Caenorhabditis elegans: one gene and its partner. The protein of the gene in region 2 interacts with the protein of the main gene of each other region in a pairwise test. Each region holds a gene or a part of one and is shown on either strand. Other genes may lie near its edges. The genes, in order: fut-8 and cat-4.

Region 1 (5,715 bases), 4.6 Mb from region 2:
AATTTTCAAGAAAATTGAAAATTTGGCAATTTACCAAAACTTTTTATTTACTAAAGTAAGTAAGTAAGTAAATAAATTATCAAAACTTTGTTTTGATACATTTTTAATTAATTTGAAAATTTTTGTATTATTTTATTATCCTCCCACTTGAATTTAAACTCACTTAAATTTGGTGATGTCAAATGGAATTCTTGAGTTTGGTGCGAGAAGAACACAGTCATCTTTCTTTCCACTGCTCACACAATCAATTGTTCTTGGTTCTACAAAGCAATTATTTCAGATTTCTCTACCGTTCATATACTTACCCCATCGATTCCAAAGGAAATCGTCTGGTTTCTGTGTTTCCACTTGTTGTCCAACGACAACTGAAGAGCTAATAAGTAATACTAGAAGAAGTTTCATGATCTCTAAGATTCAGTCAATGGACACTCCTTTTATACTAATCAAAGTTTAGCCCAGTGTTTCTTTTGAAAACGGGTTTTTGTGTACATATTAGGCAGATTGTATATTAAGCAGACGACCCAAAAATTTCACTTTATCTAGAAAAACATCTCACCATTTATTATATATTCATAAATAGAAAGAAAGATCGTCTCACCCATTTCAACAATTTTCAAATTGTTTCTTTTAAAAAAATATTGCAAATTCAACAACAGAAAATACAACAATAAACGGATGTGGCTTAATATAATCACAGAAATTTGCCAATGAAAAACCGCAATGAATAACGATGGTGTCAATATAAACCCGATAAAAAGTACAAAAACTAGATTGATAAACATGAATAAAGAGCTAAAAGGGAAGTATACGGAAAATAAAAATAAAAATAAAATATATCCTAATCTAAAAGAGCTTCGAATTTAAATTTTCTCCAATCATTCACCACTTTATATGATGGGAATACTCCTTCCTTATACGTTTGTCGATTTGTTCCTTTAGAATATCCATTCCAATGATTTCCAGCAATTCCAACTTTATCACCAACTTTCAAATCGATTTCTTTATTGTTCTGAGCAATATGATCTTCGATAACAATTACTTCATGAGCTGAAATTATGAAAACTAAGATACTTTTGTTTCAGTAACTATTATATGCATACCTTGTTGACCTCCAAAATAGTATATATCGTCAAGTGAATGGAACTTTGATCCATCGTCAGCTCCTGATGGTTGTCGTAACTCGTAGCCCATTCGGCATACCTGAAAGTTTGTTTTGTGGACTTTTACATAGGATTAGTGAGAATCATCAAAACTCTGAGTTTGTCAAAAGTATATGAGTGTCTATTTGCTTTACTATGTACAATACTAGTGAACAAAACTTCCTGCTAATTATATGTAGCTACGAAACTGCCTGGCTCTTTTTGGGTGTATTTCCAATTTTTAAACCAGAATAACTCCGAGACTGACATAGTTAGAAAATATTACAACCTAACGAAATGTGGAGTTCAAATTATTTAACATTCTCCGTTTTATGGGTCCGGTTTTGATCAAAATTTGTACATGGACTATAACTTGAAAGCTGAACATTTTATTATAGTACACACTAATAACCCGTTTATCCAATTATTTTTTTCAGATAAAAAATTTCTCACCTGACTTGAAAAAGTGCAAACCAAATAATTGACTTTACTGAGTATATAAATATCAGTGATGACTCCCATCAATGAAGCATCTGTATATCGATTATTCAACTGAGCTGTCTTTGCAATTTCAGTGCTTCCATAAACTTCATAATTCGGATAGTCATTTTTGGCTTCTGGTACTACAGTTGGATCATCTGATGCAATGAAAATTCGCCTTTCCAATGGTTTTCCTTGTCGCTTTTCCTCAACTTTAAACCAAATTTCAGTCCATTCCATATATTCCTTCAATGCATGGAATGCTGCTTCCGTGCCAACTTTATCAGTTCTTCGGATCTGCAGTCCAACAATTGGTCCTTTATCAAGTGGAATTGACTTGAGAGCTTTATCGAGCTTCTCTTGAGTTGCAGAGTTAAAACGCATCAGGTAGGAAATGAACTGAAAATTGTTGAAAGTTTTAGATATAATATAAAAATATTAATCTACCGTTCCAACAAAGAATGCAGGTGGATGTGAGTGGAGTGATGTTAGACTTTCGAGAAGTTGTTCGGGTACTGCTTGGGGTAGGAATGTGGGTCTGTAACAAGGCGAATGTAACTTAAAAGTTTGCAAAGACATTATTGGTTTTGGTATTGGTATTTGTAGTTGTTCAAGTTCAAACTAACTTTGTGATCAGTGAGTCCACAATTCCGAGGGAAACCACTCTTGCTGGTGATGGCTCAGCAAACGGTTTAGCTTCCGTGTTCTGCAAGAAAAAATTTCATTTTTTGTTTGAAAATTTCCCAAGGGAGATTTCAAAACATACATACCCCAACTGCTTCATCAAATGAGCATTTTGAAAGTTTTTTAAAGACAGAAGTCCATCCATGAGATGAGTATCTGGAAATGGTTTAGCGTTGAAATTTTAGACACAAGGTGACAAGAGCTCACTTCCACGAAGATCCGTCTCTTTTCAAGACCATCATCCGTTGAGTAGCAAATGCGGTAATTGCACAATAGGTAACATGATGAAGTTGACACCCAAATCCACATTCCTTATCAAGATTGCACACCAGGGTTTTGGCTTCTGAGCATGCTTTTGGGTTTTGAAGTTTTTCAATTGATTTGAATATTCGTTGAGTTATTGCTGTTCTTTGTTTGAATCGTTCTTCTTCGGAACCCTCGAGTTTTTCAAGTTGAGCAGAAAGTCCCATTAGTGAGATCATTTGGGTTTCAAGGAGTATCTTTGTTGAGTTTTCAATTGTTTGACTATGTAAAAGATAGAACATTTCCCGAATTCTGTCGTCGAGCATTCTCTTTTGAACTTCTTGTTGGACAGGTCCAAGTATGCTTGGTTTTGAAATAATTTCTTTGACTGGTTCAGGTTTTGGAAGTGATGGGTTCTCAGGATTTGGTGGGAGTTGATGAGATTGTTCCATGCTGGAATTATATATATATATATATATATGCATTTTTCTGAAACTTTTTACTTTTTACTGAAAGCATTTTTAGAACATCTCAGACTTATTTCTTGAAAAAACTAGTTTTAAAATAGTTCCCTTTTTCGACTTTTCAGTTTTTAATTTTTTTTTCCAATCCATAACTGGAAAAATAAAATTTTTCACTTTTAGTTTGAATTGAACAATTTTTCACTTTTTAAGCATATCTATTCTTTCAAATGGGCTTCAATTTTCGTATTTCAAACTAGATTTTTTTGACGATGACAAATTTTGAGAAGCTCATTTAAGACTTCTAAGCTCCTAATAAAAATAGTACAGTCATATATACAAATCTCGAAGCAATTCTAAGAGAATTTCCTATCATTTTAGCGACAATCCTTTTTTTATTTCTTTGAAACGAAAGATTATTTTTGTTTTTAGTGTGACTTGACATCAGATTTTAATTCCAAGTAGTCAGAATTTCAAACATAAAAGCTCACATCTTTTTGTGTTGATCATTTCGTTCTTGTCTTTCTTTTTCCAGAATGCTCTTCAAATCCTCATTTTGCTCTTGAAGCTTGTCAATGGCTTCTTTTGTCTGCCTCCAGGCTCGAATTGAATCACCGCCTGAAACTAAAAATTCAGTACAGAATACAAATTTCACCGTATTTCCTCTATTAGTTTTTATTTGAACTAACCTGATTGATTATTTGATAATTGTGAATAAAGAAATAAAAACATAGTCATCCATACAACTGTTCCCACTGCCGCAATACATTTTAACATTTCGGAGCGGGCAGGGATGCTCCTGAAATTTTTTGTTTTAAAATAAAAGTAAACTTGTACTGTAAGAACTAACATATTATTAAGTCGAGTAAGGACCACAGGATAACAACAAAAGGAAACTGGGGAGGAATAACTTATGTGGCGTGTCGAATTGTGTGAGCGACAGACTGTGAGTTATTTTTTGGAATTAAGATTTTGAAAAATAATTGAGAAAGAAAGGCGGAGCAATCGAATTCAAGGACTTCCAAATTTTTTGTGAAGACTCGAAAAATGATGAAGAGTAGTGGGAAGAAGAGGAAGAAAAGTGGATTATGACACCTTGGACTCTTTCTCGTCAGTTTATGATATCCAATTTCAACGAGCTGTGAGGGGGTTTCACGTGTGATTAATAATTGATGAAGGACACACCTGTTGGAACTGGATTAAGAATTTAATTAAAAAGTGGAAAGCTTTTTGAGGTGCTTGTTGAGTTTGATAAGTTGTAAGAGAAGATGTAAAAAAATTCCAAAGAGGCTCCGCCTATATCTTGGTGTTTTTTAAGTTGAAGTTTTTTAAGTCTTTGAGTGAAAAATTCTGAAATTTCAGAAGTCTAAAATTTCTAAAAATTGCAAAAATATGTGCACATCGCTTTAGCAGAGTTGTTTCCATTTTTTTGATGTTATTAGTGCATCAAGGTCAGGTAAACTTTTTGGAGGGTTGTTTACCATATCTCATTACCAAAAAGCAACAAACATTTATTTTTTCGATTATAATCTAGAAGTATAATTTTTGTCAATTTGTGGGAATCTATAGGAACCACCGAACCTGGTGTGGAATTGCTGGGGTGTTGTCAACCTGGCAATATAATCTTGCAAAATACCTCCGAAATTTCAAAATTTTTGAGCAATGGTACATCAAAACTTTTTTGGTATTTTTTGAGCCAAACAGAAAATTGAAAACATCTAGTTTTTGATTAAGAACCACCATGGGATCCTTCTAAGGAGGTCATATTTGAAAAAAAAAACTTTGAAAATCAGAGAAACTCAGTATAAACACCTATTACTTCTTAGAGCATTTTAGGTTTTTCCTAGAAGGATTATTTTTGTTGGGAAGTTTTTTTTTTTTCAAATTTTGCAATAAAGTTTAATCTATATAAGAAAATGTCTAAAAAATCTGAAAAATTAATTTGAATGAATACTCGGACAGAAAGTAAACAAAGTGTGACGATTAAAAACAGTTGATGAAAATGAAAAGCAAACGGAAGACATGTGTTGAGTAGTTGTCCCCTAGACCCCCGCTTTGAATAAGTAATGAATGAAACCCGCTACGTTGGCTTCTCCCATCTCATCCCTCTTCTTCTATACACGCACACTCCACACTTTGCTCTCTTCTTCTTCTTCTTCTTGTTCAGTTTCTCTCGAAATCTGAATCGATAGAGTGTGACGGAGCACGAAGAGACGCAGACAATGTGGCTCTCAATATTTTTGGGAAAGAGAAAACGAGTCGGCGGTGAGGACCAGAGCATGACGAAAATTGACAGCGACTTTATGATACGTGGCGTGTGTGTGAAATGGGAAAATAGGAAGTGTGGCTCATTTTTCATCGTCATGTATGTATGCTAATCGAAATGTCGATGGAAACATTTATGAAAAGAGAGAAATAGAGGACACTGAACGTGGCAACAATAGGTATCATTTGCAAGAAGAGTACAAAACTTTATAGGTACTGATAAGGTTAATGTGCAATGAGCATTTGATGATTTGAAGGGCATATTAATATGCATCACAGTTTAGATCAAAGCAAATAAATATTTATGTTTCATGATTTATGAGAAGTTTTGAAATTGTACATATATGTAAATATGTACAATTAAAATGTTTTGTTTAAAAACTGAAAAATCATCAAATAGTTCTAGAACAATGAGTTGACATTGGAATTCTAAAAGCTATAAT
Region 2 (4,333 bases):
TAAAGTTTTACCGTAAAAAGTGTTCTTTTTTCCAGCACTCGCAGGTCGATCACTCGAGTTAGTATGCCGCTTCATTCCGATGGTTCATGATGAGATGGACAGAGTTCTTCCTGAAAATCGAAAAAGTCTGCTTCGGTACTTCAAGCAGGTTGAAAGTGAATACCGCGATCACGTCAACGAAATTGCTGCCAAATTAATAAGTGTAATAGCTCATTATACAACAAATTGTCTTGGAATGTGGGATGTGAAAGGAGTGATTCCATCGCCAGAATTTCAACAAATTTGTCGCCATATGCTGAAATTCCACAATGGACTGGTTGGCATCATGCCAAGAGATCAGATCGAGGCGTTGTTCCGTCAAGTACACGAAAACTTTAAAGCCAACTTACGAGAACACGTCACTGGAATGGGTATCACACCTCATGACCCTTTAAAATACGGGTAAGAATAAATTACTGAAATTTCAACTATAATGTACTATTTTCAGATATGTCACAAAAGATTACATGTTTTATCAACAAAATGTGAAAAACATGGAAAGTTGCCGTAATTTGGAGCTCGAGTCGCTTAATGACATTATGTTTGAATAGGACTTTTCTTTGTAAAATATTTATTTAATTTTCAATCTGGTTTATTTCTTGTGTATGATTGTGATTGTTTGACTAATTACGGTGGCTTTTATTTCACGCTTCTTCTGTAAACTTCCCCAATTCACTGGTCCTTCATTCCTAATTTTTTAGTTTGTGCTTCTGGGCTAGCTTTATCACTTTCATTTCCCAGTTAATTGTTTTTGTTTTTATTTATCTGGTATTTAGTAATTTATTGCATGTACAATAAAAGCATATTACAGTATCCAGGCAATGAACATGTTGTATGAATTTAAAAAGCTGAAGCATAAGATGTTAGTAGATTCACATGGAAAGTTATGAAAAGTTAGTAACAGTTAAAACCCAAAAAAACAAGTAAAAAAGGAAATGACTAGAATTTTTAGCGTTTGTTGATAAGATTAAGGAATTCTTCGCGAGTCTTTGGATCGTCACGGAATACTCCCAACATGCAGGATGTTGTGGTGGAAGCATTGATCTTTTGAACTCCTCTCATTACCATACACATGTGACTAGCTTCAATAACAACTGCAACTCCGGATGGTTGTACAGCTTGAACCATTGCGGTGGCAATTTGCTTTGTAAGACGTTCTTGGACTGAAATATTTGAACGTTTAGGTTAGGTTCCAATCAAAAATGTAATTTCTCAATTTACCTTGAAGTCTTCTGCTGAACATCTCGACTATTCTTGCCAACTTGGACAGACCAAGAACCTTCTTGTTTGGAATGTATCCAATATGAACTTTTCCCATAAATGGAACTAAATGATGCTCACAAAGGGAGAACATTTCAATATCTTTCACAATAACCATCTCATCGTGATCCTCGTCGAATACTGCCTCGTTGAGGAGCTCTGAAAAATGAAACTTTGAGCTTTAACGTTGTATTGCTATAACTGACCATCAAGTTGATCATCGTATCCCTTTGTGAATGCCATCATTGCTTTGGCAGCACGTTCTGGAGTTTTCAGAAGTCCCTGACGATTGATGTCTTCTCCTGAATTCCCAAAATCAGTCAACGTGGGAAAATGTATTTTGTTTTCATTTTTTCCCTTATAATCAACGGACACAACCTATTTTTTTCTGATTTATGTTATAGATATATCAATTGAAATCACAAGTTCCTGATGATGTGCTAGGGTACCTTGATTGCGTGATGTAATAGATTACAATTTGTCATGAGTCTTTAAATTAAAACAATTTTCGATCTTGATTTTTGATTTGAGAGTGGAATATATTGAACTGAACTTCCTTCCAGACAATAACAACTATCAGTTATAGATCATCGACTTTCAAAACATCTTGGTCAAATTTATATTTGGGAAAATATTTATCAATATTCTTTGAGTCACTGATAATGAATAAATGCTAAAACATTATAATCTCTAGAATGAATCAAAAAGTGTGTTGAAATGTTTATCGAAACCAAAGTTTTCCTAATTCTGCTGACGTAAACAGTTGACAGTACGTTTTCAGAACTCTATAATCTATTCTTAAACAGCTTATTTTAAATTTGTTGTTGATCGACTAATACTTTCCGAACCAAAGAATCACATGAACTCACCGACATGTTGAATGATGCTCTGATAGGCATTGCACATTGATTTCAAATGATCTTCCTTTGGAATCGTTCCGTTTCTTTTCTTCATCTCAACTTTATCGTCTTCGGATCCAACACTTGCGGCGTCAGATGACAAAAATCCGCTTTCGTTCTCAATTCTGGACATTTTGATATTATGATGTTGATAGAGTGGGTAAAGCCTGAAAACATTGATTGAGTAAGTGAGTGAAATAAGGTGATATTGAAAATGAGCCGTGGGTAAATCTTAAGAAAGCTGAGAAAGCGTAGGCGACAAAAAGAAAGGATAGACATTCAAATAATTGCCGGATGAAACCGAATATGTGCAATGTCCAAGCAAGAAAGAAGAAATTACGAAAAAAAAAGGTACAACACGTCATGTATTATGAAAGGTATTCTGGGAAAAAATAGGCAAAATGAAGGGACAGAAGGAAATCAATCTAGTCGAATGGATAGACTTCATCATCTTTTCCCACTTATGTGAAAAAATGAGAAAAAAAGAATAAGAAAATAGCAAAAAATCGAAAAAGAAACGGAAGACGTCGTCCCATACATCAATCGTTTTCCGCCATTCCTTCATGGCAGCACTTCTAGGTATTCAGGAAAATGTGGAGGAAGAATAATTTATTTATGCAAACAAAAGGAACATGTAAAAAGAAAATGAAACCGATTGATTAGGTGGATAGGCGCAACAAGAAAAGAAAAAGTGGACTGGTCTGAGGAGATACAGAGAGAAGGATCGTAAATCAGCGAGGAATGATATAGACCTTCACTCACGTGGACTTCTAGTTCACTATCAGTTTTGTTGCCGAAACTTTGGCAGATTAATATCTACAAGTTACTCTTTCATGCACTACAATCGAAAAAATTGAGAAACTTTATATTCAAAACGAAATTTGGAATTTATCAAACTTCACATATATTTCTCACGAAATTCATCAAATGGTCCTCCTGGGAAGTTATTTAAAAACAATAATAGGATCACATGTGGTAGAATATACTCCTCCTATTTTTAAAACTCATCACACCTAATAATATTACTCATCGAAACAACCAATCTGAAAAATAAACTAGATTCTGGCAAAAAAATTACTAATGAGTTTAGTACAACACAGAAACCGTGTTAAACTCTCATATATACTGCCAACAGCCACAAAAATAAAATACAATTTCTAATATTTCACCATGTCAAAAAAGTAGGACCTCAAATTTGGGAACGATTTCATTCAACAGTTTCGGTTTTCAAAAATTGTAAAATTTTAACTACTTTCCTTTCTAAGTCATCATCAGGTGGAAAAATGAGAAAGTAAAGAAAGAAAATGAAAAGAATTGAGGGGTCTAAAGAAGTACACTCACTTTCTTCTATTCTTCTACTTAACTACCTACATAAGAATTTCGTTGAAACAGTTAAAGCTAGTAGAAAGATCAAACCCACGCCTTTTTTTTCCCGGCAGACTCGATGTGTTTTGATGACATTCACACGAAATGACGAGAACGGTTCCAAAATCAGCTGAAGATGAGGGAAGAGGCGTTTCGAACTTGTAAATGTTTTCCTAGTTTTCTAGTTCTTTTTCATCAGATATCGTTTCTTATATTTGCGATTTCTGGGCTGATTGGGTACAAGTTGGGAGGAGGTGATGACGAATGAAAACAAGAAAACTTGAAATACTATTTTGTTATGATCAGGATTTTTTGGGTTATTCGAAGTCTCTCATAACTTTTGGTTCTTCAGAGTTAGAGATTGAGAATCAAAAAGAACTATTTGAAAAAACTGAGCTATTGTCAATATTCTTGAAAAGTAAAAAATTAAAATCGAAAGTTGTTACTGAAAAGTACTGCCAAATAATACCGTAACACTCGTAGAGGAAGTTCCCCGCAATTTATTAGGTTGAACTATAAATAAGATAAGAGCATAAGCAAAATGCCGCCGCTAATGATGTACTACCAATTGAAGCCGCAATTTATATGGAGTTTATAATCATTGCATGATAAATTGGTTCAGGAACTTTGAATTGTCACCTTTGAGATAAGATCGTGCACAAAAGGAGTTTGCGGGATTAATTAAGTGACGGCGATTACGTCAGAAACATAGAGAACAAGTAACATAGAGAGTGTCCTAAGGAATACGGTTTTCTGACTGGTGATGATTT

What was found.
Region 1: the proteins of cat-4 (region 2) and fut-8 interact in a two-hybrid assay, tested with the Caenorhabditis elegans proteins (one large-scale study listed by BioGRID).

What each region holds. Positions count from the first base shown.
Region 1 is NC_003283.11:5,986,447-5,992,161, forward strand, and holds fut-8 (Alpha-(1,6)-fucosyltransferase), read right to left. Parts: upstream 3,807-5,715; 5' UTR 3,785-3,806; coding exon 3,697-3,784; intron 3,626-3,696; coding exon 3,499-3,625; intron 3,000-3,498; coding exon 2,511-2,999; intron 2,460-2,510; coding exon 2,390-2,459; intron 2,326-2,389; coding exon 2,246-2,325; intron 2,158-2,245; coding exon 2,067-2,157; intron 2,019-2,066; coding exon 1,593-2,018; intron 1,201-1,592; coding exon 1,101-1,200; intron 1,048-1,100; coding exon 839-1,047; 3' UTR 625-838; downstream 1-624. Other genes in the region: C10F3.7 (DUF7808 domain-containing protein), read right to left, coding at 164-260, 306-402. UniProt on the Caenorhabditis elegans protein: Catalyzes the addition of fucose in alpha 1-6 linkage to the first GlcNAc residue, next to the peptide chains in N-glycans. The addition is prevented if the GlcNAc residue is already fucosylated.
Region 2 is NC_003283.11:10,562,912-10,567,244, reverse strand, and holds cat-4 (GTP cyclohydrolase 1), read right to left. Parts: upstream 2,366-4,333; 5' UTR 2,332-2,365; coding exon 2,169-2,331; intron 1,602-2,168; coding exon 1,506-1,601; intron 1,459-1,505; coding exon 1,261-1,458; intron 1,203-1,260; coding exon 988-1,202; 3' UTR 806-987; downstream 1-805. Other genes in the region: vps-54 (Vacuolar protein sorting-associated protein 54), read left to right, coding at 36-441, 488-590. UniProt on the Caenorhabditis elegans protein: Involved in serotonin and dopamine biosynthesis that affects movement, mating behavior, foraging behavior, and cell migration.